Linked DNA regions of Alligator mississippiensis. The protein of the gene in region 4 interacts with the protein of the main gene of each other region in a pairwise test. Links are inferred from orthologs where the notes say so. Each region holds a gene or a part of one and is shown on either strand. Other genes may lie near its edges. The genes, in order: MID2, ZNRF2, TRIM32 and UBE2N.

Region 1 (7,987 bases), on a different chromosome or scaffold from region 4:
CAATTTATTTCAAAGGACAGAATTTCTCAGCAGCTGCAGTTTCAGAAAAAGAAACATTTACAAAACAGGCAGGGCAACTTTCAAAACATTCACTGTACACACACTGCTTTCACTCAACACTGCAAAATGGTCCTCAGGGCACAGACCTGTCTCTAATCACTTCTAAAGCACAGGGCACTCCCTAGGTGCTGGAGCAATATCATCACCTGTCTAAATCAATGCCACCGCTGTAGCAGATGGTGTTTCCTCTCCCTTCTTGTATCCTTACCCTGCTTGCTCTCTTTTTTGAGCAGCTTTCTTACTTAAGTTTTACCAAATATCCAAGCACAGTCAATTTTGTATTTTGTTTCACTGCAACAAAGTTTTGGGATATCTTTGCCGTTTGCTTCCACAATAACAAACAAAAAAATGAAATTGCACAGTGAACAGCAACACCTATGTATCCCTATGTATCCACCTATGTAACAAATTACATGTAGCAATGATGAATTCAGCACAGGGTTCAAAGCACCTGTAGAAGTGGCCTGCACCTCACTCTTCACTTTCTTCAAATTCTTGTAGTCACTTTATTCTACAGCCTGTTTTAGCTGCACATGATATCAGTGCCCCCTGTATTGAGGATTACTTGGATTATTTTAGAGGAGGAAGGCAAGCAAGCATGCAGACAGGCTTTATTATTATTAGAAAGATCAAGGAGCATCTCAAACCCATGTACAGCAGGGCAAGCAGTTGGCACTGCACTGCAAATTCCCAGCAATGCCCACCTGTGATCTAACTTGTAAGGGCATGATGTTGTCTAGGAGCACACCAACAACTCCATGCCTATGCCGAATTCTAGAGCATGCAATCTGGAAACCTGGTTGGGCTGTGGCAGATGCGTGAATGGGGATGATCTGCCTGAAGTCACTAACAAAAACCAAATGGAAAGGATCACAATTTGTTTTAGAGAGGGAGCAGACCTGGACCACAGTCAAAAAGAAAGAGGCGGTGCTTAACGCATTAGCACCTAGGGCTTGAGAAAATGATGGGACACCAAAACAGAAGTCCCAAATAAAATCCCCAGAAATTTGTGCAACCCGTGAGGTTGAACTACCTTGGAAACATCTAGAATGGCCTGCATTATAGGCATAGAATACATGGTTGATACCAAATGCACAAGTAGAGCCTGAAGACTAGAACTTAAAACAGTGTTAACTCGGACACATTTCTACCTTGTCGGATATTTACTTCAATCACGCTTTGCCGCATTTCAAAACCAGTAATAGTCAGTCAAAGAACAGAAAGCCAATGAAACACAACAGTAAAATATTATTTAAAATACCAGCTGGTTATGGACTTCACCACATAAAATTATTATTACTGTCCTTATAGGCATGAATTTTCTCTCACCTTGCTGTCAACTTCAGAAGAAAGCTGACTAAATAACAAGAAACCCATTAACTCACATTTAACTAACCTTTATTGCCACTAAAGCTGTAGAACATGGTTAGCAATGAAATCTGAGGCAAGCAGACAGTATACTTACTGTACAAGGCTCCAAGCTCTACAAGACTCCCTGCTGGCAACCAGGGAAGCTTGAAACTAAAATGTGTCATTTTAAAATTTAGTCTCTAAAGCAAAAGATAGAAAGGATACAAATTCAGACTCCCCCTGAAAAATAAAATCAGAGAGAGTGAGAGAGAAATCATGATTGAGAATTCAGGCAGTACCAGGAGCGTATAAGTGGCTGAGTGAGAACTTTGCTTGGCTCAGGGACCGAGATCAGAAAAGCTACCAGCAGCCAGCTGATGATTGAATTATAAAGCTATTCCCAACTTTAGCATTTCAGAGCCAACAGTAATACCTGAAAAGGAAATGAGGTGTCTTTACTTCCACGGGTGTAATCTGGATTTGCAGGATGTATCCAGCTTCCTTGTCGGGGGGTGGGGGAGGGGGTGGAGAACAGCTGGGCAGCTCTAGCAGTGCGCACTAATGGAGCCTTCCTCCCCACAGAAGCTGCTTGAAAGCTTTTGCCCTCGCGCTTTGCAGGAGGCAGGCTGGGTATTTAGGAAGCAAGAAGAGGGTGAGAAAAGAAGAAGTGGGGGGAGAGGGGAGGGGTGATCACTTCGGCCCCGTGTCTCTCTGACCTACCCACCCCAGGGAAGACTCGCCCAGAAGAGAAAGGATTTTAATCGAGCTCCATGACACAAACAGGCCGGAAATGGCAAACGCAAACAAACAAGCAACCCACACGCAGACCCGAACCACGCGGCAGCCGGGCCCGGCTCGGGTTTCACCGCGGCTCCCTCGCAGCGCTCGCCGCCAATGCGGAGAAGGCAGCCCCTGGGCTGCGGGCGGTGTGCGCACGGGCTGGGGGCTGTGGCAGCCTGATATCCCGGAGAGTCGCATCCACCCCGCCATAACCGAGACTACCCCACTCCCTTCCAGGAAGGGCAGCACCCCCGGGCATGCACGGTTAACCCCTTCCTCCCCCAAGCGCGGACACCACACGGTGCCCCCCCTCCCCTCCCGGCCGCAGGCAGCAGCTCCGCAGCATCGCCCTCGCCCTGCGGAGGCGGGGAGCGGGCGGCCCGCAACTGTCCGCGGAGCCTCACGGCCTGCCCGGAGCGGGGGACGACCGGCACCGCCGCCGCTTCTCGGCGCCCGGCTGCGCTCCCGCCCCGACCTCCCCCGCCGGGCGTGTCCCCGGGGCCGGCAGCGCAGCGCAGCGCAGCGCAGCGCAGCGCGGGGGGCTCCTACCTACCAGCCGGTTCCAGCAGCCGCCCCGCCGCTGCCCGGGCATCTTGGAGGCGCAGGAGGGGGACGGCGCGGGGGAGCCGGCGAGCGGGAGCGGCGCGGGCGAGGGAGGCAGCGAGGAGCGCGGGCGGGGAGGAGGGAGCAGGGGGAGGGAGCGAGCGAGGGAGGAGGCAGCCGCGCTCCGTCCCCGCCGCCGCCGCTCCCGCCGCAGGTGAGGGCGCTGCCGGCCCTGGCGGGAAGCTTGTCCCGTCCGGGCCCCTCCCCGGACACCGGCGCGGGAAGCCCTCCCGCCAGCCCCCCGGGCCGCCGCCTCCGGGCAGCCCAGGGGGCGCGAGCAGTGCGGTGAGGGAGTCCGCCCGGACGCCCCCCACAGCTGCCAGGCTCCCGGGAGCTGCCTCTTCCGCTCCCGCACGGCTGGCAAGCAGCGGTCTTCAGCCGGGCTGCTGCAGAAAGGAGCCTCGCGGCTGCTGTAGCACTCGCTGCCATGAACGGGGCAGTCAGCGCCTCAGAGTGACTGTGCCAGGCTCCCTGCAAAGGCAGGAAGGCGGCTGCGTGGTATGTACACTCCAGGTTTTCCCTGTAACTGGCCCTAAACAGCCTCTTTTCCTTTCCGTTTAATAACAGCTGAGACCCAGAGGAACAAACAGCTGTGGCCCCTCATCGCCCTTCACAGGCCAGGCACGGTCAGGAACAACTGCATGCTTTGACACTCTCCTCCCCCAGCTCAGTGCTCGAAGGAAGTAGTTGGGGCAGGTCCTGCTTTGAGCAGGGGCTTGGGCTTGGGCTGCGCTGGATGACCTCCTGAGGGCCCTTCCCACCCTGCTGCTGTGTGATACTAAACCAAGATTCTCCGAGCCAGTGCCATTCTTTAGAGCTTTGCTCCACCGGGCCAATAAAAAAGAACTGATCCTGCCAGCAGATCTGGGCAGGATCCTGTGTCCAACCCCACCCTATTGCCAAGGGCATTCCTGCAGGATGAGTTTACACAATTGAAGTCAAGGTTTCCTACTATCCAGTTGTTATCACACTCCGCATGAGAAAAAGGAGTGGGAATGGAACATTAAAGAACATTTTTTTCCTTGTTCACAGGCCAGTAATGATTATAAAGGTAGTCACACGCACACATGTCAGGCAAAGGCTTTAAATGAGATCCATGGGGTGTTTTATTATTCATTATTACAGTAGAGGAGATACTTTAAGTTGAGATTCAATTTCTTTGCAGTGAGTCTTTTAATATGTTTGCTTTTCCATTGGCAGATACAACTGAGAAATAGATTCGCTTTTTTCTTACTTTCTGGTTCAGAAAAGGGTGGTGATGTCCTGATGTACTGTACGTTTTAATACATTAGAAAAAGTCTTGGATACATGTGCATTGTTATTGCTATTTATAAAGTACATCTACTTGTAACACCCAAGGGAAACGAGGATGGGCGACCCAGTGATATATTTATTCTTCCATAATGCAAATCCAGGTCAAACATTATTTATATTTGATAAATAAGGAATTTGTTTCTTTACAAATAAATACGCTAAGAAACATGTCTAAGCCTTGAACCTATGTTGCTTTTAGGGTGAAGCAGGAAGGGATTGTATTAGTGATTTGAAGGAGGTCCTTGGAGCACAGAACCTAGGTTTTATTTCCACCTATGCCCTTAAGTCACTGTGGCTTTCCTCCCTGCTTTTTCATAGTGGTATAACTGGTACATGTTAGCTGCCTCCCTGACTATTTGAGTGGAGTCAAAGCACTTACAGTTTTCACTGGATGCATCTACATGTGTGCTTTAATGCACAGTAGCCTATTTTACTGTGCATTAGCATCACTTAAAAACCACGCGCATTCATTACTGCTCATTAAGGCAGCTTAATACGCATTTCTTAGGAACTCACATTGGAGGTACTAAATTTAATGCACATTAGAAAAAGTGTTCAAGTGCATGTGTAGACATGCCCACTGTGTGGTTAAGGGTAAGGGGTCAATACTATAGCTGGGCCTATGGTTGGCCTCACCTAGTTTACACTGCAGTAAAACTGCAGAGCCAAGTTTCTACTAGTGTTTTGCTGTGAGATTGAATGTATTATCCTACCCTAAACAAAGCCTGCCTCTTTTGGCTATGAAAGCAAAGTCTGTAGCACTCTGGGCCACAATTTCCTTATTTACATCTGTGCAAAATGAGTGTAAAATACAACTGAAAAGAAAACAACAGGACCCGATTTTCATCTTTTTTATGTTGGCACATATCCTGAGGAACTCCACTGAATTCAGTGGGATCAAAACTCATGTGACAGTGTGTAACAGGCCCCCACCTGACTCACCTCAGTACTGCAGCTCAGGTAGCTAGTCTACAATCAAGCCGGCCGGCACCGTGCTGACCAGAAGAGCACTGCTGATTGGCCTGCGGCCCAGGGACAACTGGCTAAAAGCAAGCCTGGAAGGAGAGGCACACACCAGAAATGGTTCTGGACATTCTCCCTGCTGCTGGAAGGGACCCAGAACCTTTCCCCAAGGCCAGCACACTCAGTTAATTGATGCATATCTATCCCGCAGGCAAAGCATCTGGGAAAAATGTGGATGATCACCTCAGCATCGGAAGGAGTTGAACTGCTTCCCCTGAGGCCAAAATGCCTAGAACAGTATTCAATGCTATCCCCACTGCTAGGGCACTGGGGATCCAGCTAGGCGTTCTCCCTCCCAAGGTGGCCAGTGAGCAGTTCAGCCCAGGCACAGCAGGACCCTGCCACATACATAGAAGCCAGTGCAGAAGCACCCATGTCAGGTCAGGCTGAAAGAGGGCAGCCCAGGGGGTCCTGCAAGGGACAACTGGTGAAAAACCCAACAGCATCCAAACTGAGACCATTTTGCATTCTTCAGTGATGTAAAACTATATATGAAGTCACAAGGTGCCAGGCATTATAAAGTCAAGCCAACTGTATCTTTTTTTACCTGCTTCAGTTTGTCTGTATGCATGTGCATGTAAATGCTCAGAAAGGTTTGGGATGTGGCAAGATGTGACAGAGAGATGGCAAGATGGAGGGATGCGGGGCAGAGCATAGTCTAAACATGGAAGCAAGGCATCAAGGGGTGGCAGGGATGGGAAGTCCTAGCAATCACAACTCAGCAGATGCAGCATAAAAAGTGTCTGCCCAGTGTCAAGGTGGGGGAGGGGTGAATGTGGAATACAGGTTAGGCCACATTAAGGAATAATTGGTAAAAGAAAATCTCACCAGAAGATATTAACAGCTACTGCTACTATTCTGGGCCTTGCAGATAATTACCCAAGTACTACTTAAAGAGGCAGAGGCAGGGCTTCCTTACCAGCCAGGTTCAGTATCACCAAAGAACTGCTGTCAAACAGGAGTCTGATATCCCGGCCCAGTCCCCAGTCATACAAAGCCAGAGCTCCAAATCTCTCCTCTTTTTCTTCTAGCAATGAACCATTAAAAGACCCCAATTGGCTAAAAGCAAAAGTAAAATCACTAGGATGAAACAGAATGCAGGCAGCAGGTGTTTGTGTGCAGCAGCTAGGTACATGGCATCTTGATTTTCTACTGTCTTCCAGCTATGCTCCAGCAAAAACAACCACGCCTCAGCCCTCAAGAAAGGTAAACAAGCTGACAGCAACTGGAAGTGGAGAGGTTGAGGAGCAGGGGAGCTGGAGTAGCAACTCAGTCTTAGGCAGGATGCAGAAAAAGATTAGTGTCAGTGGCATTCTCTTGTCACACTATCGTTCAGAAATCTGACTGCATCTGGGTACCTCACAATTACAAATCAAACACCATGACAGATGTGTGCAACTGTATCTCTGCCCCTGCTGTGGATCCATCTGCATAACATGTCAGTTATTTCAGCTTGGGTAGGCCAAAACTATACAACACACTTAAGAATCTATACGATTTTTTTTTGCAGCCACAAAGATGTTCTTTCTGAAATGGGAGGATTCATGCTGTCCCTATTCCTGATCATTTCTCCTTGGAATTTCATTAAGCTGTTCTCAGCCCTGGAAATTCAGTTGTTTTTTTCTTTTTAAATGTAAGCTTGCTCACCTGACAGGTTTTTCTAAGCTCCGGTGACTCTTAATTAAAGGAGGTATTTTCAGTTCACAAGCAGCTTTCCTAAAAGGTTGACAAGGAGAGAGGATCGTGTCAGGGAAAGGTTATGTCATGTTCCAAAGTTCTTCTAGCTTAGTTTTTCCACTTAAATAAAGTAGAATTTGGGGTTGAAAATGTCACAGGTGATGTTTGGCAAATATTTACAATAATAATGTTATTCTTTGCATGTTCTTTGTTAAAGAGGGAAGAAACTGGCCAAATGCATTTAAGCGCAGTAATTGACTCTGTTGCTGGATAGTACCTGTGTCTGATGGGACTATCCGACAGTGCTGTAAATTAGTCTACACTGGCCAAATTGCTGCACACATGTAGACTGTGATGCTTTACTGCACAGTAAATTAGTCCACTGGCCAAACAGTTGTTTAAGTCTGCTGAAAACCACTAGCACACTATAGCCCTTTGAATTTTTATTAACCATTTTAAATGAAACACAGACATCAGTAGACCCTACACACCTGATTTTCAAAGGTGGGAGTACCAGGCAATTTCCCACTGAGGTAATTTTGGAGTCATGAGTGCTCCACACACCTCTGAAAAGTAGAAACAACTTTAGAACTAGTCTTTATTTCTATGTAGCATTGTTAAAATTAGTGCTATTTTTCCCAAGTATGCTGTGAGGCTAATAAGTGTTCTCACTCACACTACAAATGGGAAACTGAGGCAGAGAAACTCCATGATTTGCCCAGAGTCAGTAACACAGCCAAGATTAGAACATATGACCTCCTAAATTTGTTCTTATTTGTCAGTGTACAACATGGTCAGAATCAGTGCTTTTTTAAACCTTGAAGCCCTCTGTCTGTTTTTGTTCCTGCTACTCCCAGCCCTACCCAAATATGACAACCTAGCAGATTAATTCCCAGAAAGGAATCTCCTCTAATTTTCCAACCCTGAGCAATTTACTCAAATTTTTATCAGTTCATTTTGTGCTGACTTCATTAGTATCTTCCTCATCTCCATTTTCTAATGCAAAGGCATGCACTTCTTGTTCCTTGTTACTACACACAAAATAGCAGCTTCAAAGTCTTAAATGTGAGGTGGATATTTTGTACCACCTGATGTTAATCTCTGGAATTTCAGAGTCTGATCAGAATTTAATTTGGCTGCTGTGATGAGTAACCAGAGGCCCTATTCAGATGACCCAAAA
Region 2 (7,988 bases), on a different chromosome or scaffold from region 4:
TTTTTGGGAAGAGTTGAAGGCATGCCCCTGGGTCAGATGAAAAAAAAAGAAGCTTTCTCCTGTCTTGATTTATTAGCTGGATGAGTTGTATGGATTTACTGTACATGATTAATTTTATACTTGTCAGACTAATTAACGATTAGAACACCTTGAACTTGTTTTACAGGCCTTCTTAATTCCAAGTTATGTTCAATACTCTTGAGAGGCAAATGCTGCCTATATTAACAATGAATGCTTAACAGATCAAAGGTGGAGTAAATTCATGAAATACTCAGTGTAGCAAGAGGATTTTTAGAAATTCTTCTACTATTGGCCTAGTTCTGGAGGTAGCTGCATTGATGATGGCAGTGGTGCAAAGGCATTAGCCGTATGCTAACACACTGTCCTCGAAATCTGCCCTGAGCCATGCTGGACAACACAGTGGCAAAAATGCCTGTGTTTGGTTCCAGCAGTAGCAACATTCCTGAAAATGCAGGGTGTCTCCTGTCATGGCTCATAATGCAGCTAGGGCTGAGACCTGCACATAACATTATTCAGGTGGATTCATGGGCCCATGGAATGCCTTGTTGACTTTATTAGCATGACTGACCAAGATTTGATTTCCTTCTGCATTCAGACATTTTTCAGTCTTTCGGATTTAAAAGGCTTGTTTGCATCTAATCACATCTGATGACTGGTATAAAAGATGTCCCAGCAACTTAATATATCATACACAAAATATGTTTTTAGATATTTTTTTTTTAATGTGGGCAAGTATTTGGGGGGGGAAAAGCTTATGCAGTAAATTGGAAGCTACAGCCATTGTGATGTTGATGTATATGTAGCTCATTGGAATCCTTATTCAAATAGAACTCACTGAGCCATGGAGAGCCTTGAAAATATGAAGCTCCTCTATGCAGTTATGTACTTTATTTATGCCAGTCATCTATATAAACAGTTTATTTTGGATGACTGATTGTAGGAATCCTGCTCGTATATATTGGATGCAGAGACATTCAATCATATTTTCTATTTTTAAAGAAGTAAATGATTTATGCTGCAATTTGTCATGTGGAGATTGAACTAATGTGGATAGCTAGCTCAGTTTATAGGGCCAAAGCCATATATCCTTATTTATGCAAGACTCATTAAAGTTTCATCTGAGTAAGGGACTAATGGCTGTAGGATTTTCCCTGTAACAAGTTTTGCCCATAGTAAAAATGTGCAACAAGATTTTCTCCCAGTATTCCCATCTCTTTACATCAGTCTGGTAACACTGAAAGGCTGCAGTCAGGACCGAACTGCCTGGAAAGAATTTGTCCAGCTGGGAAACATTTCAATCCTGTAACAAGATCAGAACTACCTCTTGCTGCTCTGGTGTACAAAAAACATCAAGGGGAAGAGCGAAGGGTGCATCGAGAAATGGCAACTTTGACAGTTCTCAGTCAGTGTATATCTTTATTGGAACTGCAGCTGGGTGGCTGAGTAAGAACCACCTTACAGCCCTCTAGGTTTATATGCTGATTTGATAAAAGTAATGCGTTCTTTCCTGCAGCTTCCTGCAGGTCCTGTAGAAAATCTGAAATGATACATCTCATTTAAAAACAAATAACCTGTTGCTATAACTATATACCGAGTGAAAAAGAACATTTTCTAAGAATCTGTTGTCAATAAGCTGGTTACCAAAAATGATAAATTAACGTAACTATTTAATGCTAAAACATGATTGGTGTTTGAATGTTCGTATCTTAAAGCAGAATGGCTAACCTGTGACATACATGCCACAAGTAGCATAGGTAGCCTGTGTACGTGTGGCCCATGGCAGATGAGGGAGCGGGCAGAGGTCAAAGCTGCAGGTAGGGCAGGAAGTAAAAGCAGAACAGCATATTGCGAGGGGAACACAAGGCAGGTAGAGCAGCAGCATAGGGATGCAGCAAGGCACCCAGGGCAGCAGCAGTGTCTGGTGGCCACCTTAGTCATGATCACACAGTTGCCAGCAGCAGCCACTTCCCCGCTGTCTCCCTCCCTTGTCAGCACCTGGGGTGGTTGCTCCAGTATCCCTGCCCTATTTATGCCACTGTCAGGGAGCAGAAAGCAGAGTGGACAGGGAACACAGGGTAGAGAAAAGTGAACAGGACATCAGATTGAGCAGGGGAAGGGGATCAGAATGGCACTCAGGTACAGCACAAGCTTAATCTGTGGCACACCTGCTAAAATAGCTGGCCCCCATTGTCTTAGAAAAACTAAAATCTGTGAACCTAAAACTTGTTCCTGAGAAGGGTCCAACATGGAATAGCCACTGTTGTATTCCTAACTATCACTTTTTTTTCTATCGGTAGAAGTCTGCCTCCTGAGCCTTGAAATATTGCAGTGGTTCAGAACCTAAAATCCTAGATACATCTTCAGCGTGCCTCCTTGTACAGTTCTGTACTTATAGCTCATAGGAACTCATTTCAGTCACCTTCAATGAAATCTCGCTACTCTTAGTCAAGATGTTCATTCATTTAAGAGTTGCCTAGATGTGTGGGCAGATTTCTTCTTAACTCCTCTGGAAACTGTACTTGAACAAAAATGCTCAGAGCATAATAGTACTTTGTAGCTTCTCCCTTTTTAGGTAGCACAGACCTGCATGTATTCGCTTGTGTATATCTATTTCTGTGCAGGGTAACCAGCAAATGTATGTGCATTTCTAGCTTTAAGGCACATGAACAACTGTCTTTTTGAAGTGATGTACTATGCTTTTTAAATCCTTCCCACCCTCTCCCCCTCCCCTCCATTATATAGAATCATATAAAAGTGGGGCTGGAAGGGACCTCCTGGGGCCATCTAATTCAACCCCCGCCTGAGACAGGATAATCTCTATTTGAACAATCCCATACAATCCATAATCTAAACTCCACATAGGATTACTATCAATCCTGATGCCACACAGACCTAGCACTCTAACCTGCAAAGCAGGGAAACCATGGCAGCCAACGTCCTGCTTCTATGAAATGTTGTCAATATATGCTTTAGAGATCCTGTGTAGAGGGCCACGCCACTCACTACAGAGGTAGGCAAAACCCCCCACTGTCCAAACCAATTTAGCCATGGGTAAAATTCCTTCCTGACCGCCAATATGGTATGATCTAGATATCAGGTATGATGTAGATTAAGATTGAGATGAGAGCAATTCAACCAGGTGTAACTATATGGATGTCTGCATTTCTTATCTTCAGTAAAGCCTCTAGCCCTGGACTCACATTTTCAGGTTTGCTCCACAACTGTGAAGGTGAACAACTTCTTTCCCTGAAACCCCCGAGAACTGGGATTCTTAGCTAATCATCTGTTTCCAGCAGCTGGGGTTTTAAGGAAACCCCAGATGAGGCAACACTGGGAGTTGTTTTCACAGAATCATAACAGAAGCAGGGCTTGAAGGGACCTCATCTAGTCCAGTGGTTCTCAACCTTTTTTGTACCAACCTTCTTTGTAAACATCAATGGCCAGTCCCGACCCAGTGCCCTTCACTTCCGACCTACTGCCCCTCACCCCCTGTATGTGGGGCAAGGGTGTGTGTGTGGGGCATGGGGCCCAAACAGCCGCTTGCAGACTGGAACTTTGCCAGCCTGCGAGGGAAAAAGCCATGGTTTCCCATGTTTTTCTCCTTTAAAGGAGAATCCATTTGTAAAGTTTGTTCATGGCCTTTTAATATATTCATGCAACTCACTTTTGGGTCGTGATGCACAGGTTGAGAAAAGCTGCTTTAAAGGTCATCCAGTCCAACCCCCTGCCTGAGGGAGGCTCAGCCCTAGCGAAACCACCCCCTACAAACCCAGGGCCTGACCTCCTAGCAAAACTACCCAGTCAGCACCACAAGACCTCGCTCCCTGACCTGCCCCAGGTAAAGCAGGGCGGCCAAGGTCCTGCTGCTGCGTGGGTGGTTCAGCTCTTCTCCAAGCCTGCAAGGGGAAGACAAAGTGGGGGGCTCTTGTGGCTCTGTCATGATGTCCTCTGCATGAGTGACTGGTGCCTCCTGAATCTGGGGGTGGGGAACCCACAGAAGCTGCTGAAGGCGGTGGCCATCAGGGGGGCACCAGCCCTACCAACTGCATCAGTGTCGGCTGTCAGTGGGGGCATGTGCACCCCCTACCAGTCGCCTATGGTCCCCTGTCTCCTTTCCACAGACCTTTCCCCACAGCGGGGGCCTGGGCAGGGGGGATGCTCCCAGGTGCCTGCCCAGCAGCTACAGGGGCTCCCCCAACGCTGCCTCAAGTCCCTCATTGCTTCTTGGCCTCTTGTGGCCTAAGATCGATGGTAGGGAGTACCTGAAGAGTGGGACTAAAGTCAGGGATGGAGGATGCTTGCCTGTAGTATCCAGGGGCATCTGAACCCCAAGACGTCTGGGCTTGGACCTGCACATGGGATGTCTGCCAGTGGATTTAGAAGTTTCTGAAGTTCCTGAATGACAGGGCTGGGACAGAGGATGCTCGCTGGTTGGAGTGCCAATACATGGTGGTTAGAAGGAGCTCTGCCTGCTCCATCCATACCGATTTTGGAAGGGTTGAATTGATACGATTTGGAGCAGATTTGATCTGGAACAGGAAATATATTATAAAAAAGAAAAGTGGGGAGGGGGCTGTGTCAGGACAAGCAGAGAGGTGGGTTAGCTAGAAGTTGGGGGGAGGCAAGGGGTCCAGAAGCACCGAGGTGGGGGATTTGAGCGGGGTGTGCCAGTGCCGCCGCTGGGACCGAGGCCGGGAGGTTTTGGGGAGAGGCTCGGGGCCAGACCCACGAGGGAGCAGGAAGGAGTTGTGTCCCCGCCGCGGCCAGAGCGGCGCAGCCCTGGTGCCCGCTGCTCCCAAGCGTATCTCGCCGCGGGGCTGGGACTACGGCTAGGGCGAGAGGCCCCGCGCGCGACCCGAGCCGGGCCGGGCCGGGCCCCCTGCGCAGCGCAGCGCAGCGCAGCGCAGCGCCGCCCCCAGGATGGCGACGCGACGCGGCGGAGGCGGTGCTGCCCCTCCCCCAGCGCGGCGGCATGGCGGCGGCGGAGCTGAGACCCCGCGGGGCGGGAGGTGGCGGTGGCTCATGGTGGCGCTGAGCCGCGTGGCGGCGACACCCAGCGCGGAGCCCGCAGCTCCGGCCCCGGCCGCAGCATGGGCGCGAAACAGAGCGGCCCGGCCACCGCTGCCGCCGGCCGCAGCCGGGCGTACTCGGGCGGGGACGTGCCCTCCGGCAGCGGCGGCGCGGACGGGCGGCTGTCGGGCAGCCCGGCGGCGGGCGGCGGGGCCGCGATGGCGGCGGCGGGGGGCGCGCCGAGGAGCCGCTCGGCCGGCGCGGCGGCGGGGGCCCGGGCCGCCTCGTCCGCCCCCCTCCAGCCCCCCGGCAGCAGCGGCGGCGCCTCCGGCTCGCAGGACTCGGTCAACAGCAGCCCCGAGGACGGCGGGCGCGAGCGGCCCGCGGGCAGCGGCGGCGGGGGGGCGGCGCGGCTGCTCATCGGCTCCCTGCCAGCGCACCTCTCGCCGCACCTGTTCGGAGGTAGCGTGGGGCCAGGGCCGGGTGGGCTGAGGGGGGCATTTCCCCACCCAGCCACGGAGCACGGGACCAGGCAGCTGTCTGTCCCTAGGAGCTGGGACTTTCCCAGGCTGTGTAACGAGCTTCCCCCTGGCCCAGTCCCGCCCCAGGGGCAGGGCGCCACCCGCGGAGCCCTGCGTCCTCTCCCTGCCCCCGTCACGGCCCCGCCGGCGGCGTGTTAGGGGCGCGGGGCTCGGCACCTGGCTGCGGCGGGGGGGACAGGATTTGAGGGTGGGCTTCTTTGGGGGCTGGACTCGATGATCTTGCGAGGCCCCTTCCAGCCCCTAATGGCTGTGCATCGTGAACCATGACTTCAGGGCACAGCCTCCCCCAGACAGGGCGCTCCCGCGCTTCTGGGCCCGCCGTGTGGGGCTGGTCTTATTCTAGGAGGCTTAAAAGCGGAAGGAGGGAGGGGGGAGGGGGATGTAGAAATGAAACCCCACAGCAATGCAGCAGTCGCTGGGGTGAGAGGGAAAGAAGCTGCTTTGGCCTAGAACTTCAGACTTTAATAGCTGTAATCAGTGACTGGGTAAATACCCTGGCCTGTTCCTTACATCGTTAGGAGTTAATTGGATCATGCGTTGGTGCTGTTGCTTTTCCTTGGGGCAGAAATCCGGCTTCAGAGAGGCAAAAACCCCCAACAAAGCAAAACCACGTGGTCACAGCTTGTTCCTGGTCCAGAGACTTGGGGTTTTCTCCAATGAAAGCTGGTTGCTAGTGACAGTAGTGTAACTGCAAGTTTCTCTGGGTTCTCTTCCTTCCCGCAGAGATGCTGATGTTATAGATGAGCTGAGTTCCTTTAAAGAGCCCTTCTCACCAAAACCACACTATATGAGTTCATTTCTGGTGTACCAGAGTGTATTTCCTTGAAGCTGCAGACAGAGGGTTGAGCAAAACTACTTAACTCTGGGTCTCAACCTGTGGTCCACAGACCCGTGGGGGTCCGCAGACTATGTCTATGGAGTCCACGAAAGATGACTGTACTCAATCAAAAGTCTGTGACTACCCACACTTAGAATTCAAAGGGGTCTGCACCTCCATTCAAAATTGTTTTGGGGTTCACAAATGAACAAAGGTTGAAAACCACTGACAACTTACAGGGAGCAGAGTCAAAGTAAACAATGAATCTCTTGGGTGTAGACTTTTTTTCTTTACAGTACAATTTGAATGAATAGTTTTGGGTACGGGGGGAGTTCATATACTAAGCCATTTCTTTCAAGCATAAGTTTTTAGGTGAAGCTGAGCTGACTTCCTTCAGTGACACTGGCTATCAAAGGGCCACTCATGTCAGAAGGGCAAATGCTGCGGTGCAGCGGGACATTGATGGGGTCATTCTTTTAAAAGCTATAGGAACCTAATATATATGTGCAAAGACTAGCTGACTTGGAAAGGAGATCAAAACTGGTTGTTTTGGGGGAAAGGTTGTTCAGTGCAAAGTGCCTGTCTTAAAGGTTATCCATTTATGCTGCTAAATCTATTTGTTTGTTGCCATCGAACATAGTTTCTGTGACATGGAATATCTTGTGGGTTTATTTTTGAAACTCATTCTCAGTCCTTAATGAAAGTGGCATAATCTCAAGAACAGAAGGTCAAATTAAGATCTTTTTCTTCCCAGTCCTTACGCTTCTTGGCTGATTGGCATGAGTGACACCCCCCACCCCTCTCAACACATAGACTTCTTTGTTGGCTGCCTTTTTGTGTGTTTAGACCTGAAGACAGTCCTGTCATCTCCTCAGTCTGCTATTGTCTCTTCCTAGTTCTGTGGCTGAACACAAGAATGGAAAGTGTCAGGCTACCTTACTAAGGAGCGTTTGTCCTTGAAAGAGAAAAAATAAGCATATGTGTTTGTATAGTGCCAGGCTGCTGCATATCTATTAACTCTCTGTTTATCGACTTTAATCAGATCAGGGCTCTGGTGTAAGGATGGTTGCTGTGTCAGAATATTACAGTATGTAGGAAAACAGTTGTGTACAATTCCCTCGGCAGTCAAAGGGTGCTGTGCCACTGCTTATTCTACAGCTAAAATATAGTGAGAGAGAGATTAAAACTTAATGTTTAGTAATTTGTTTGTTGAAGAAAATGATTTTGCCCTTTAAATCTTTCAGTGGAGCCTGCATAGTTGCAAGGAGAAATGGGATAAAATATGGGGTAGGAATCAAAGATCAAAATATGCAGCTTGGGTGTCCCCCCTTCCCTCCCAGTGATTGGTTGAGATTTCTTGAGCATGAGAATTTTACCTAATTAATTGCAGGCCATATTTTTCCTCTTGTTCCAAATTCAGATGATAATATTTGCATAAATGTGCTTTCTGTAGAACACTGGTTGGTTGCTCGCTATGTCTTATTTCCCATCAGCATTTGAAACCGGAGTGATAAAGCATTAGTGTTAATTGTCTGAGACAATATAGAATTTATGCCCTACTGGAGCTGAATAACCTTTTTTTTTTTTTAAGATGATTT
Region 3 (7,428 bases), on a different chromosome or scaffold from region 4:
TACAAGGTGCTAGCTCTTTGAGGCCTGCACTGTGACCTTGCTGTGTGCATCCCTTGCTGCCTGCATTGCACCTGGCTCATTAGGAGATGGATGGAAGCCCTGCGCTGTACACTCATAGATGGGACCCCATGCTCTCTCCAAGTGATTGCAGGTCTGTGTCCCCATCAAATTGAATGATGCTTCAAGGGCTCATCTCATGGGTGTGCAGCTCAAGGACCACTCTCTTTATCCTGGAAGGTCAATATTTCACCCATTCCTCCCCAACACGCATGCATACGTGTACAATAGATTTTCCTTAGCATGCTCACAGTTCATTGCCATCAAATTTTGCCCGCTTGCATCACTGTAAATTCACAAAGATCTTGCCAAGTCTCGTTCAGACCTTCAACACCACCTCAGACAAGGACTTCTGGCTACCACTAATTAGGCAGAAATGGGGGGTGGGGCAGGAGGAGGAGGTCATGTTAATGACTGATGTGGGACCAAACATACCAGACAGACATGACCAAAGACAATGCCATCTCTCTGGGGAACGCGCATCCCCGAGGGTGCTGGTACTCTATTCAGTAGATGTCCGCAGCATTTTACTGTCATCAGGGAATGGAGATGGAAGCTAGTAAGGACGCAATGGATTTCATTTCCCCTTGTGACTCAACTCAGGGCTTTTCTCTGCTCCCTAGAGAAGTGCACTGACTGGCTACACTGCTGAGCTCCATTATTTTATGATAACTCCCCCAATCAGAGGATGGTGCCGCAGATTCTGGTTCAGTCTTTGGCTTCGGAGCACAAATCTGAGCACAATCCATGATCAGAGGTAGGTTTTTAGATCCTTGTGGCTGCATACTCACAAAGAAGAGAGCCAGTCTGTATGTCTCCATTAATAATCAAATGGTTAAGAGTCAGAAAATCTGGCTCCTATATCCATCTCTTCTATAGAGTGACTGCACAGTCATACTCAAGCCACAAAAATCATGGTATGCCTCAGTTCCCCATCTGTAAAATGGGGACCCTGTTAATGTAATATAGCAGATATATTGCTTATATGTTACTAGATACCATTAGAACCTCTCCACTGAGCCTCAAAGGTCCTGAATTACTAACTTATAAAGGAGATGAGGAGAGGCTGAGGGAACTGGACTTATTTAGTTTGGAGCAGAGAAGACGGGGTGGGGTAGCAACCTTCAACTACCTGAACCAGGTTCCAAAGAGGATGGAGATGGACTGTTTTCAGTGGTGGCACATAATAGAACAAGGAACAATGGTCTCAAGATGCAACAAGGGAAGTTTAGGTAAGATATTAGGAAGAACTTTCTCACTAGGAGGGTAGTAAAACACTGGAACAGGTTACCCAGAGACATGGTGGAAACTCCATCTTTGACAGTTTTAAATACCTAGGCAGACAAAGATTTGGCTGGGATGATCTAGTTGGGGCTGGTCCTGCTTTGAGCAGAGGGTTGGATTAGATGTGACCTCCTGAAGTCTCTTCAAACCCTAATTTTCTATGATTTTATGATTCTCCATTAATTCAAGAACAAAAATATATGTTACTGGAATAGAGGGACTTGAATATTTGCTAGAACAATAATTCTGAACCAGGATTATGCCATCCTTTTAAGGATACCGCACAATATTAGTACTGTTTGGCGTGCAAACACCTATACGATTCACAACATAAACCTAGATGTTTCAAATAGAAACCCATAGTGTCAAAAACATGTCTGACCTGTTGTGGTCCTTCTGAGTTCTTTGCAGCAGGAGACCTACTCTATTTGTTTCTGTAGTAAAAACAGATAAGCAAAAGCTAAGAGCTGGCATTTTGGGGGTGGGGGTGGGCCTTGAGTCTAAAATAGTTTGAGAACCCAGTGTGCTAAGGTCATGGGCTTCTGATCAGCTTTCTTTATTTGCAGGGTTTTTGACAGCAGCCCAAATATTCATTATTAGAAACTCTGAATATAAGGGGAGCCAGTCAGTTTGGGGTCTTCTAGTATCACAGCAATGGCAGCACTGTATACTTAACATGCATTGCTTAAAGATTTATCAGTGCCATGGTATTTGGCAGCCGCCAGACTGACAAGCCCCTATAATTTTCAAGTCAAGTCTGCTATTAGAGGCCTTACAAATGGAGGGGGGCTAGTTGGTTTTGGGGTTGCTAAAACCGTGGCACCAATAACACTGTAAGCAAAGCTTAGTAAGTACATACGTACCCTGTGCTGTCAGGGCTACAGTGCCAACAGTTCAGAAATTGACCAGCTTCCCGAATTTCCAAGGTTTTTCTCCTCATATTTCGAGGCTTCTGTTACAGGGGGAGTCAGCCTTGTTTTTGGCAGGCAAGCCACAAATTAGCTCTGCATCCTCCCAAGTCCCACTCTGATCCCTTTCCCCTACCTGATCTGTTCTTCTGCTTTTTGCTCTATGCTCCCTGACCAACCTGTTGCTCTGCTTTTTGCTCCCTGCTCTGTGCTCCCTGCCTGATCTGATGCTCTGCTTTCTGCTCCCAGCCCTATCTGCTGCTGTGCTACCTGTCCCCTCCCCAGTCTGCCACAGGGCACACACACAGATGCTGCCTGTCCCACACGTGGCACCTATGGTGCAGGTTGGCCACCCCTGTTCTATTAGATGCTTTGAAAATAAAGGGAGATAGCAGCCACGAAACAGATTAGTCCTGCTCATTTCCGAAGCTCTAATGGCATCTCTTTGACAGCAGCTTCCCGTTCCCTGTTTCTGGCAGTTAAATCAAGGCCAATTAGTTACTAGGTAAAGAACTACCATTACAGTCAACATGCAATTATCCAAGTACAATGAAGTTATAAAGTAGATAGCAGAGCTGAAATATGCTATGCACTTAAGCAGTGTATGCACTTAACCAACATGGTAAATTAAAATGCAGCAATACTAGATGATACAATGCGTGGGCAATATAAAAGTAAGCTAATTATACACTTCCCAATATTATATAAGTGAAATACATTGCATCTATAAAGCAGTCTGAGATCCTTGGATGGAAGGTGTGATGCATCTTAGAAATATAGGAACGTAACTGGAGGGCGCCTCCTTTTTTGTCGGTAGGTGAGGAATCCCCCTGAGGTCACCACCTCAGTTGCTCACGTACAACTATAGGGAACAGTATCCAATATACCAAGAACAGCTTGTCTCATGATCAGGTCCTATCCATGTCAAATCCTACAAGCAAAGAAGGGCAGGCTGGGATGCAAACCCCTGCTTCCTCTTCTCTACAATGGGGGTTGGTATTAGAGCAACTAAATGGGTTGCTGGCCTCCAAGAAGGGAAGCAGGCCTACTCGCAAATGCAGGCAAGACCTGGCTCTTCCTAAGCCCCAGCCTCATGATGCTGCCTAAACCACCCTTTATGCACATCTCTGCAAAAAAGGACCTGGGGGTTACAGTGGACAATAAGCTGCATATGAACCAACAGCGTGCCCCAGTTTGGGGGGTTTTTTAAGGAAAATTTGTTGTGTTCCAAGCCAAATCCATGAGTCATTCAAGAACCGAATGTGGCCCTGCTACCGGCAAACATCCTCCACCCCCTGGGGCTTCAGATGCTTCTAAATCCTTTGGTGGGCATCCTACATGCAGGCCCAAGCCCAGAGGCTTGGGGTTTGGATGACTCCGAGTTTTGCTTGCCCTCAGCCATACGGCTGCAGAAGCAAGCTAGGGAGGAGACTCCGACTTCCATAAAGTGGGTGTAACACCAAGATCTTCCCACTGGAAATGAAAGTGGGAGGTTACCTACACATTACTTCTGCGGATACTACCGTGTGCCACAAAAGCGACTAGGAAAACCCCCATAGGGGTCCTGGTATTTCCCCTGCCGGGTAAGTATATAGTACGAAGTATGCATGATATTAATCCAAAGCCAAGGCCTAGTTGCCGAGAAGGCTAACGGCCCACTGGGCTGCACGAGCACCAGCGTTGCCAGCGGGTTGATTCTTCCCCTCGATTCAGCACTGGCGAGGCCACATCTGGAGTGCTGTGTCCAGTTTTGGGCCACTGCTATGAAAAGGACACGCACAAATTAGGGAAGAGCCCTGCGAAGGGCAACCAAAACTGGTTCAGGGGGGCTGGGCGGATGTGACAGATGAGCCAAGGGGGCTGGGCTGATGTAGTCTGCAGAGGGGGACTGAATGGCAGCTTCAACGCCCTCCAGACAGCTCGAAACCTCGGCGAAACCCTTGGCTCCTGCGAGTAAGGTCACAGCCACGACCGCCTCGGGAGACCGCAGAGGATGGAGCCGGGCTGCTCTCCACCCAGCCATGCTCTCGAGCTGCAGCAAGGGTGGAGGCTGGGTACCAGGAAAACCAGGGTGAGGAGCATCGGAGCAGCTTCCCCGGGCACGTTTAAGACAAAGCCGGGCTGCGAGCAGACAGGCGGCCTTAGGGAGGGGCCTGCAGCATCCCCGGGCCGGACTACAGCTCCCAGCCTGCTGCGGGCGGACGGGCGGGCGGTGCTCGCCGGGCAGCCTGGGAGCGGCGGCGGCGGCCGGAGGAGCGGGCAGGTAGGCGGCAGGGCCGGGCCAGGCCGGGCCGGGCCGGGGAGGGGCCGCGGATGCACCCACCTCGGGGCAGGGAGGAGCAGCGCCCGGGCGGCGCCGGCTGTCCGCCCTGCAGCGCTGCGCCCGCCCGCCCGCGGCCCGCGGGGACACAGCGCGTCCCGGCCGGGCGGGCGGGCGGGCGGCACCAGCCCGGGGGGCCTGAAGCCTCCGAGAAACCTGGGGCTCCTGTGAGTAAGGGCAAGGCTGGGAGACCCGCAGGCCTTCCTGAAACCCAGGAGCTCCCCTGCCTCTTTCTGCCTCTCTTTCTCTTTCTTTTTCCCCATCTCTATCTCTTTCTCTCCATCTCTCTTTCTCTATCTTTTGCTTTTTCTCCATCTCTCTCTCTCTCCATCTCTCTCTCTCTCTCTCTCTCTCTCTCTCTCTCTCTATCTGTTATTGAAAGGCCGCTGTTTCCTTCTGCCTGTTGGAAATCTGACCCGCTTTAAAAGGAAAAGCTGCTTATCCCTAACAAAAGCATGCCCCCTTTCAAGGCGGTCAGTAGCCCTGTGTGGCATGTCAAGCATCCTTTTTTATCCCTCCTAAGCAAAAGCTGTTGGCATGTTTTCCTACAGACCTAGATCAGTGGGTCTCAACCTCCTTAGACCCAGCCCTGCTTAGACTGAAAGCAGTCCCCAGAAAAAGCCAGCTTTTCATTTTTGCTCGTTTGATTACCCACACACCCACACAATCACACCGCCTTTTTCCTATTGCATGCATGCACACACAATAATACAGCATTTTTCCTACTGCATGCGTGCACACACACGTGCGCATGCACACACAATAATACAGCATTTTTCCTATATTGCATGCATGCACACACACACAAATTTTACATTTTTCCTATTGCACGCACACATGTGCACACATGCACAATTATACATTTTTCCTGTTGCACGCACGCATGTGCACACATGCACAATAATACATTTTTCCTATTGCATGCATGCACACCTGCACGCGCACACAAAATAATACAGCATTTTTCCTCTTGCAGAGAACTCAGAAAGACTACCACAAGGATCGGTGTTTTTAATAGGATGGATTTCTATTTGAAGTAGCTGGGTTTGTCTGGTGAATCGTGTTTGCATACCTAATAGGGCTAATATTGCATAGCACCTTGCAGTACCCTTGGGACGATCTCAAGACACCCTGATTTGAAATCACTAACCTAGATAGTGGGTTTTGTTTTACACTCTGGGTTTCTTGCTTTTAGCATTTTTCAGTGCCATTGTTCACCCCTTGAGGGAGTGTTTTTGGCCTACTTTTCAGCATTCTCTCTTTTGGTCCCACAGCCTCCTACACATGCTAAAGATAAAGGCAACTCTCCTGTTTCAGTGCTGGACACCTGTCACTTCCCAGGGGCTGTGTTAAGTCCGCAGTGCTGCTAATCCAAGGAGCTAAGGAGCAGATCTCAGTTGGTAGTTCAGCGCAACTCCACTACAGGATCGATTCAGTCCCTGGGAACGAGGGCTGCACAGAACAGCAAACTCTGGTTGGTTGAAAGCAGATAAATGAATGTATGCTTCACCCTCCGTGAGCACAAAGTGCTTCTCTCTACTATAAATGTCATCTTTCAGTTGAGCAAGCGGTCTCCTGAAATGTACCAAACCTTTCTGTCTAAAATGCTCCCAAGACTGAAGCAGGCTCAGCAGGGAGGTAAAAAATGCTGAGAGCAAGCAACCCCGACTCAGAGAACAGCTGAGAGTTCACAGTTCTGTACAGGTCTTGCAGCACTGTTCTTCATCTGAAGAACCCCAAAAAAACAACCCTCGGAGATTTCTAACTCCCCTCACCCCAACCCCTCAACCTCTTTTAATGGCAAAGCAAAGCAACAGCAAAGATATGGAAACGGAGTCTACTGAATAATAGCTTAATGATGTGAACCCTTTTGAATGGGGCTGCTTTAGTGAGAGCTGCTAGAATCCTTTCACAGTAGGGAGTGATGTGAAGATACAGGAAACCTGGATAAGCAATGGCATTAGACTGAACCAAAATGGGATGGATGCTACCAGATTGTTAAATTAAATTAAATGAGCTACATTTTAAAACCAAGTCTGAGAATGAATACTGAACACTCACATTCACATATTTTTATTGGACCAGTTATTAACGCTTTCACTGGTGTAGTGAAAGTGGTTTTCCCAGTGTCTTGGGGTACAGAAGCAGGAATGAAGAGATGAACGAAATGCATTAGATTAAATCTGAACAGCATACTTTCAAATGGGCTAAAACTCTATAAACCAGCTTCTGTCACATCACTTACACTGGAATTTATCTTTCTTCAATGCATATGAAACTTGCAGCTGATCATAGTTATCTAGAAAGATAAAACAATCCTATTCACTTTACCCATGTCTGATGCCACACACGAATCTAGATCTCTAGGGTAGACATGCTAGTATCCTAAGGCAGCCAGGATGTGCTCCTCATCGCCAAACTTTTAACGTGCAATATCTGATGATCTCACAGGTCCCTTCCAGCCCCTAAAGTCTATGAAATCTTAATGCTTGGTGTACTTGCCCAGGATTTTCTTACATTATATAAACTTGAAGGCACTCTGAGGACAGAATTCAGTCATCAGTATCTATTGTTGCCCTTGCACTTATTTCAGGTTTGCTTATACATTATATTTTGCAAGTAGATTATTCATTGTATTGGAAAAGGCAAGTTAGCATTGGAATTCGCCCAGTGTGAGACCAGCTGAGATTAATCTGCCCCTTTAGCATGTGGAAGGACCAACTGGATTTCTTCCTTTTTTTTTTTGCCAGAGCTGGCTAATAAATCAGAAATATATTGCATGTACATAGAGCTGCTGGTGGAGAGAAAATAAATCACTTTTTACTTTTTCTTTTTGGGCAGGATCAGAGCACCTTGGAA
Region 4 (7,372 bases):
TCCACAGACATAAGTGGATGGCTTACACAAATCAAGGATTGTTTTATGCTAATGAAACCATGTATTTATTTATGTACTGTCGCATTAAGTACCGCTCAGTGAGAAAATATATTCTCCCCAAAGCCACCATTATTTCTGCCCCTTTGCTTCCTCCTTTTGCCATTACTCCCCCTCTCACCTCTCTGTATTTCCTTTCCTGTATCTCCAAATTCCCACCACAAGGGGCTTCAGTTCTGCTAGTCCACCTTCTAAAATAAATCAGCAATGGAATAATTAATATTAACACAAAAGCTAGAAGGTATAGAGAAGTTAACAGAGTTATTGTTTCAGGCTGTCTGCAGACTCAAGCAAACAAATTATAGTTGGTATGTTCTCTTCAGACACAGTAGTTAAGAAATTTCACATATTAAAAAGATAACTTAGATTCTGCACAATACAAGTCACTTAAGCTAGATTCAACCTATAGGCTATATGATACTTTCCAATTCATGCATAATTACAACCCTGACCACTGCAATCCATTATATGATCAAAGTTCAAACACATAATGTACACATGGCACTGCACGCTTAGCCCGATGCACATACTTAAAAAAAATAATAATAATCAGCATCTTCCACAACAGCATTCTGCAAGAAGACAGCTTTGGAATTTCAAGCTAATTTTAAGCTATAAAGGGTTAAAAACAAATTTAACTTTGAGGAATGGCATCTTCACCAATCTTAGAAACGCATTGTGCAATTTACTATATACTTTGTAAAGTAGGAAGAAAAACAAAAATACAGAAGCACAGGAAGGAAACCTGTGTGCAACCCTGCAGATAGATCCTTTAATTTTTAGAAAGTTAGAGATAATACTCAAGGCCACCTTAAAAAAAACAAACAGAAAATTCAGCTTCACTATACAGTTTTAACAGGCCTCCAGAATAAGTAGTGTCTAGTATACTGCAGGACATTAACCACCACATGCTATTAACCAACTGTAATATTTTTAGTGTTGGATAAACTGCATTGAGATAGCTAGCTAAGTGACATTATCAAATTATATTAAAACTTCTGTCTTTAAAATCCCTAGAGCAATAGTAAACATTAAGCAACTGGTAATCAACTTCACCATCTTTAATATTAATTCTGCACAGTTTAAGTGGGATGTACCTCCCTATTCCCTCTTACTATACTACCTTACTCACTTTCGTTTACAGCCAATCTGATAATACCTTTTACTTCAACTTTTTGCATAATCTGGGCCTTGATGTTTGTAATAGTTGCCAACTTTCAGCATGTTCTACCAAGAGCAGCTTCACAACATTATAAATTGCGCGCCAGATATTCATTCACTTCAGCAAGAAACAATGGTGCTATTATCTCTAATCAGAACTAATGGACCTTACTTGAACAAAGCTACTTTTACAGAACCAGTCATCACCAATTTGAGGGCTTGAATTCACATCACTTCTCAAAACTTGAAGCTGTAGCTAATGAGACTAATATTTACACCATGCTAAAAGGAAAGATCCACAATAAAGATCACAGATTAATGTTATGCTGCCTCAAGGAAAAAAATGCATTGTGTTATTTCACTCACATCTCTTCCTTAAGATGTAGATGTCAATATAAAAACTAACCTATTTGTTTATGGTCCACTATAGCTTAAAACTAAACTGATTTCAAAGGACCCATGTTACTATTAAATCATTTCAAATACCATGAATACAAAATACTTGGTTGGATCCCCTACAGTAGCCACAAAAACATATTACGAGCTGAAAACTCAACATGACACAGCTCTAAATCAACACTGTCTTAAACAGACAGCAATGTCTAAGAACACAAATACTGAAATAACTTTGATTTAAGGCACCCGCAATATTTAGCTTGTCATCATTATATCTTATTAGTAAAACAGAGAACCTTTTGTTTGCATCTCAGCCAGGATGCTGAAGCAACCTGGGGTGCCTGGAGCTCCAGCCTTGTGAGGTGTGCAAGCCCAATTCACCCAGAGATTTCAAACAGGAACCCACAGTGCAAACAACATCCTGCCCTGTGGTGGTCTTTCCGAGCTCTCTGCAAGACTAACATTATTGCTCTGTGATGTTTCCACAGTCTAAAAACAAGTGAAAAGGAAGAGCTGCCACTTCCCAACAAAGCCTGGACAAGGGAGACAGGGGTTGAGCCCAAGAAGATTGAGAACCAGGACTCCAGCACTTGGCAGGCAAAGCATCCACCTTGTTACCCCCTTTTCCATTTCAGAAACAGTCTGACCCGGCTCTCACTTCCTGCTCCCTCAGAGCCACCTCCCCCAGGCCAGCACAGCCTCTGCACTGCCCCTGGGTGCCAGCATTCAAGGAGGAACAGAATCGGGCAGGCCGCACCATGCAGTCGCAAACACTCCTCCCTTCCTCAGTCTCTATTTTTAAAGGACCTCTCACAGGTGAAGCCAGGGCAAGGCCCGGGCCCGCAGCCAGGCCCCTGCCTGCTGGGGGGGCGCGGGGGTCAGCGAGCCCTGAGTCATCGGGTGGGCGCCCCCAGCAGCGAGGCCGCGGCTCTTGGCCCACTACAGCCCGGCCGCTGGACACGGGGCAGACGGGGGCACTTCGGGCTCCGCAGCTCCCGGCGCTGTCACAACTGCGCCCGCCAGGCCGGGCAGGGGTCGGGGTCTGGGCCGGGGACACGGGCTCGGCCAGCAGGAGGCGTCCGCGCCGCGGTCCAGCTGCTCCCATTCATTCCCGCCGCCGCGGCGGAAGCGGCTGCGCCAAGGCCCCGCTCGGGCCCGGCCGCCACCGTCGCCGCATGGGGCCTCCCTCGCGCCCGCCCACACCCGGGCCCGGGCGGCGAGGGGGGAAGGGCCCGGGCCGGGCACCGGAAGCCGCGCGCGGGCCGGGCTGGGAGCGGGAGCCGGGGGCGGGGGCCTGGTGTACCTTGATGATCCTGCGGGGCAGGCCGGCCATCTTGTCTGATCGGGATTCAGGCGCCGCTGGGTCTCGGCTCCGCTCGGGGGCTCGCGCACAACCGGAAATCACCCGCGACCCGCTTCCGGTAACGTCACTGCCCCCTCACCCGCCCCCCCCCGCGCGGCACGCCGGGCAATGTAGTGCAGGAAAGGAGGTGTAGTGCGGCAGGCGGGGCCCGCGGCCTCAGGCTTGCAGGCTGTGACGTGCAGCTGAGGGGGCGGGGAGGAGGAACGCGGGGAGCCACGTGCACTGCTGTCAGGCTCGCGCTGCCCTTGCTGTAGAGTCACGGTGTCCCGTGGGAGGGGCGAGGCCCCGAGGGGGGGGCGGTCCTCGCGCCGTTGGCGCAGCCAATAAGCGTAGAGCTGTGGGGGGAAGGGCAAGAGTGCGGGCCTGTTGCCACCGCCCTTCGTGGGCGGGAGAGATAGGGCCTGGTCTCCGCCCTCGCCCCCACCCCGGAAGTGCTGAGCCGGGGCTGCCGGCCCCTTCGTTTCAGCTGGGCACTGAAGGCTCTCCGAGTGCCGAGTACTGGCTGAGCAGCCTTATCCCCGTTTCGCAGACAGGGCGCCATCTGACGACCACACGAGAAGAGAAAGGCATGTGGGTCCCGCTGCCCCAGTACTGTGGACTTCTGCTGCTCCGTCCCTGCTTGTCTTTAGAGAAGTGGCTAGCTGTGGTAGTGTAACGTCAGCTAGAAGATGCCTTTATACACGCATAAAGAAGATACGCATATAAACAGAGCGAGCGAGAGCAAGCTGGCTTTTGTGAACCCGAGTTCACTCCATCCGATGCCGTCTGGAAAAGTGTAGTCAGGGACTGCCCTGCCTTGAGCAAGGGGCTGGACCAGATTAGGGTTTCTCAGCCTTTTCCAGGCCAAGACACATTTACACGAATAAAATGTCTCCCTTGCGTTCCCTATCCCCCTATTCATGATCTCGTTGTAACCCATTACCAAGGCAAAATTCAGCGGCACCCCTGTTCGTTTGTAATGGCACGCCATTGTGCTGCGGCCACTAGTTGGGAAGCGCTGGACTAGGTAACCTCTTGAGGTCCTTTCCAGCTCTGCTTTCCCATAATCCCATGAAGGGCTGGGTAAGGGCAGCAGTATTTCTAGTCCAGCACCTGCTGAGGGAAGCACTTGGCTATGTCTCATTGGAATCCAACTGTTTCCTTCTCAATCTCACAGGTGTTAATGATGTGCTCTCCTTTTTAATGATCGTAATGTTCAGCTACTGTGAGGTATTTTTTTCTTTTGCAGTTCTGCTCTGAGTTCTTCTGCTAGCCCTGCTCCTGTTTTACAGCTCTCCACAGTCTGTGCAACTCTGACTACAAACATTAGCTCAGCCCTGCATGGGAGGCACTGTCAAGAGGCTCAACAGCAGTGGCCTTAGAGTTGTTGGGGTCCTGGGCAAGCGAGTCATTTGAGGCCCCTTAGAGGTATGTACTCAGGTAAATATTAACCCACCACAGTTGTCTTGTGAATCTTTTTAATGTTTTGGGGGGAATTAGATTAGTAGTCAAGTGTTTAAAATGGAGCCACTTCCTTGCAAAAACTTCCCCCCCCCCACCAAAAAAAAAATTGGACCCCCTAAAGTGTGGGGGCCTGAGCAGTTGCCCAGTTTGCCCTCCCCTAAGGCTGCTACTGGGCTCAAGAAGGTGAGATTTTGTTGGATGAATCTGAAAAAAATCTAATAACTACGGGACTGTGATTACATACTGAAGGTATAGGCAAAGTGGTGCATTCAAGCCATCATCACTTAAAAAGAAACCCCTGTGGGTGCCTCGCCCGGACCAGCTCCAGCCCTTTAAGAAAAAAAAAAAACAGAGACAAGCCCCCAAGACTCGCTGCTCCTGCAGCAGCCTCAGGGCTTTGCGGGGCTTGTGGCAGAGCCCCCCACATAGCGTGTGACAGCAGGGATTGCCCCCTGCTTGGCAGTACCTGGTGAGTCTGGACTTTTTTTTTTTCTCCTTACAAGTGCTGGGAGCTGGGGCAGGCGGGGCAGCCATTGCAGGGCTGGGAGAGGGGCGGGGAATGGGCCAGGCCTGGCTAATTCAGAGATTCAGCTGCTGCCGAATCTCCAACCCAGATTTGGCCAAATTGAATCGGGACAGTGATTCGAATCACCAGATCAAATCGCTGTCCCCCAAATCAGCCGAATCCGAAGCGAATACTAGCCACTTCGCACAGGCCTACTATCTGGCACCCTTTGCTGCTGTGTACATATACCACAGTCAGAAGCTTACTGAAGGGTTGAGCATGTCTTTGGTTACAGCTACACGTCAAGCTAATCCTCATGTCTGGACCTTCTTCAGCAAGGCCTCCTAAGCCACGCCTCTGGCCCACCCAGTGTGTCCCCCCTCCAAGTTACCCCTTTTACCTCTATGATCTAGCCAGCCCCAAACCCCATACAGGGCATATATTTTCTGCTTTTCACAAGCTTAAAATTGTGTTCACTTCAGGGTCCCCCTTGTCCCAGTTCTCAGTCAGGGCAAGGAGGGGCTCAGGCATCCCTAGAGGGGAAAAGTCCTCTCCTTTCAGGGCACACAGGTAGGAGGAGAGAATGTGGTCTTGAATGTTGCTGTCCCTCATTTTTTCTACCACCAAACCGAATGCCCTCTATCATATCCCTTGCCCTATCCATCCCCCATTCCTGACCTGAACCTCCTCAGCCCCTCTTCTCCTTTGTCACCTATTCCTCTTTACCCTCTTTCCATAATGTCCCCATCCTTTGCTGCAGCTACAACCTTTTCTCCTGTTCCCCTTCCCATTTTGGTCCCTTCTATTCTACTTCCAGCAAACACTACAGTTGGGGGGCAATAGAATGTGGTAGAATTATTTTGAAGAAATGCTATTTTGAAGGGAAGGACTGTATCTGAGGAACCTTTTGTTCAAATGAACTCAGTTTGGATGATTAAATGCAGGGTGTGTATTTTAGCCCACTTAAATAGTTGACCTTTAAATCGAAAATGTTTACAACCCTAACTATAGCAGAGGTTGCTCTCTACTTAATTGGAAAGCAGTATCTCTTCTGTTGCAGTCTCCCATAAAAGTAGACAAACAATACAAACGTTTTAATTCATGTAGCATTTAAAAATATTATAGTTTTAGAAAATGAATTACTTGTACTGTCCTCAAGTGATTTTACTGGCAGGCATGTTCACCAAAAGAACACACTTTGAGAGACTCCCATAACTGTTCTTTGCAAATTCACAGAAAAGGACTGATTCTAACTGTTTTTGATCCAAACGGAATGGAAACAATACATGCAACTTGTGTGTTCAGCCATAACAATCTGAATTCTGAATATGGAAATCTTGCAACTGCTTGTGAGCTACTGTCCAATATGATTCACTAATTAGTGATTTCACCGGTTCTTTCAAGTGACACACATTTTAAAAAACAACGTATATAGACTTAACTCATGAAATGAGCTCACCATTTGTTAAATAAGGTCCAAGTCATGTAAAGCATTTATTCACCTTTTTTAGCTTTATGCAAATCAGCATTCTGCTGAGTTCACTGATTTCAATTAGACGACTCATATGTACATGCTTGTCTTTGTGTGCAAGTATTTGCAGAGTCAGGGTCTGTTCATTATGAGTTACTCGCCCTCTGTTTCCTGTGCTGATTGAGAAACATTCAATTCAAATCCTTTACTGAGCATTGTTTAAGCATGTTTTTTAACATGGTTTATTCTTACAGTCATCACTTAAAATGTTTGGTGATTTTTTTTTTTAACTTAATTACTACAATTTCAGTCCTGATCACAAAAGTAGAACAAACTTATTTTTTTAGCAACATAATGTATTCAATGTGTGCATGGCAAGTGGCATGATTGCGGCATCACACATTAGATCCCATCATGCCTTATTGCCAATGCAAGGGGAGCCCAATCCCAGGCTCTCCCTGCAGCAGCAAGAAGCAAGCTCTCATTTGAGGGGCTCCCAGCTGCATGGGTGTCCCACATATCACTGGGGCTGGGGGATTACAACAGCCATAATCTTCCAGGCTCAGAAGGTGGAGGGGGGGTAAAAACCCCAGACCCAGGGGAACGCAGCAGCCGCAAACCCTGGGGCCCAAACCTGGAGGTTTCATGTATCCACAAGCCCTGGGGATTGCAGCAGTCATGATCCCCTGGGCCTGGGGGTTTCATGTTGGGCATGGTATACCCCTCTGGCTGGGACACCAACTGTAGGGGAGACCCTGCTACCTGTGCTTGATGACAACCAGCTATAAAGTTAGTATGCATTTTTGAGGTCTATAGCTGGTTGGAGTTTTTTATTGTGTGATAAGTACTTTCCACATATAGGTAAGGTAATGGTGTGATTAACCAGTTAATTGTGTGTTACTTATAATGTGTAGAGAGGGGGCCTTAGAGGTGATCTGTAACCTTGGAAACTTATTGGATTTAAAGTCTTCCAGCT

Evidence for each region.
Region 1: the proteins of UBE2N (region 4) and MID2 interact in a two-hybrid assay, tested with the Homo sapiens proteins (2 studies listed by BioGRID). The link is inferred for Alligator mississippiensis from reciprocal best matches to the Homo sapiens genes UBE2N and MID2.
Region 2: the proteins of UBE2N (region 4) and ZNRF2 interact in a two-hybrid assay, tested with the Homo sapiens proteins (4 studies listed by BioGRID). The link is inferred for Alligator mississippiensis from reciprocal best matches to the Homo sapiens genes UBE2N and ZNRF2.
Region 3: the proteins of UBE2N (region 4) and TRIM32 interact in binary tests that used the Homo sapiens proteins (3 or more experiments, as listed by UniProt). The link is inferred for Alligator mississippiensis from reciprocal best matches to the Homo sapiens genes UBE2N and TRIM32.

Annotation. Positions count from the first base shown.
Region 1 is NC_081831.1:38,491,510-38,499,496, reverse strand, and holds the start of MID2 (probable E3 ubiquitin-protein ligase MID2), read right to left. Parts: upstream 3,016-7,987; 5' UTR 2,740-3,015; intron 2,400-2,739; exon of another isoform or gene 2,231-2,399; intron 2,215-2,230; exon of another isoform or gene 1,844-2,214; intron 1-1,843. UniProt on the Homo sapiens protein: E3 ubiquitin ligase that plays a role in microtubule stabilization. Mediates the 'Lys-48'-linked polyubiquitination of LRRK2 to drive its localization to microtubules and its proteasomal degradation in neurons.
Region 2 is NC_081828.1:140,419,431-140,427,418, forward strand, and holds the start of ZNRF2 (E3 ubiquitin-protein ligase ZNRF2), read left to right. Parts: upstream 1-4,974; 5' UTR 4,975-5,111; coding exon 5,112-5,493; intron 5,494-7,988. UniProt on the Homo sapiens protein: E3 ubiquitin-protein ligase that plays a role in the establishment and maintenance of neuronal transmission and plasticity. Ubiquitinates the Na(+)/K(+) ATPase alpha-1 subunit/ATP1A1 and thereby influences its endocytosis and/or degradation.
Region 3 is NC_081835.1:54,504,656-54,512,083, forward strand, and holds the start of TRIM32 (E3 ubiquitin-protein ligase TRIM32), read left to right. Parts: upstream 1-4,412; 5' UTR 4,413-4,512; intron 4,513-4,642; exon of another isoform or gene 4,643-4,736; intron 4,737-5,843; exon of another isoform or gene 5,844-6,043; intron 6,044-7,410; 5' UTR 7,411-7,428. UniProt on the Homo sapiens protein: E3 ubiquitin ligase that plays a role in various biological processes including neural stem cell differentiation, innate immunity, inflammatory resonse and autophagy.
Region 4 is NC_081827.1:87,986,150-87,993,521, forward strand, and holds the start of UBE2N (ubiquitin-conjugating enzyme E2 N), read right to left. Parts: upstream 3,002-7,372; 5' UTR 2,948-3,001; coding exon 2,918-2,947; intron 1-2,917. UniProt on the Homo sapiens protein: The UBE2V1-UBE2N and UBE2V2-UBE2N heterodimers catalyze the synthesis of non-canonical 'Lys-63'-linked polyubiquitin chains. This type of polyubiquitination does not lead to protein degradation by the proteasome.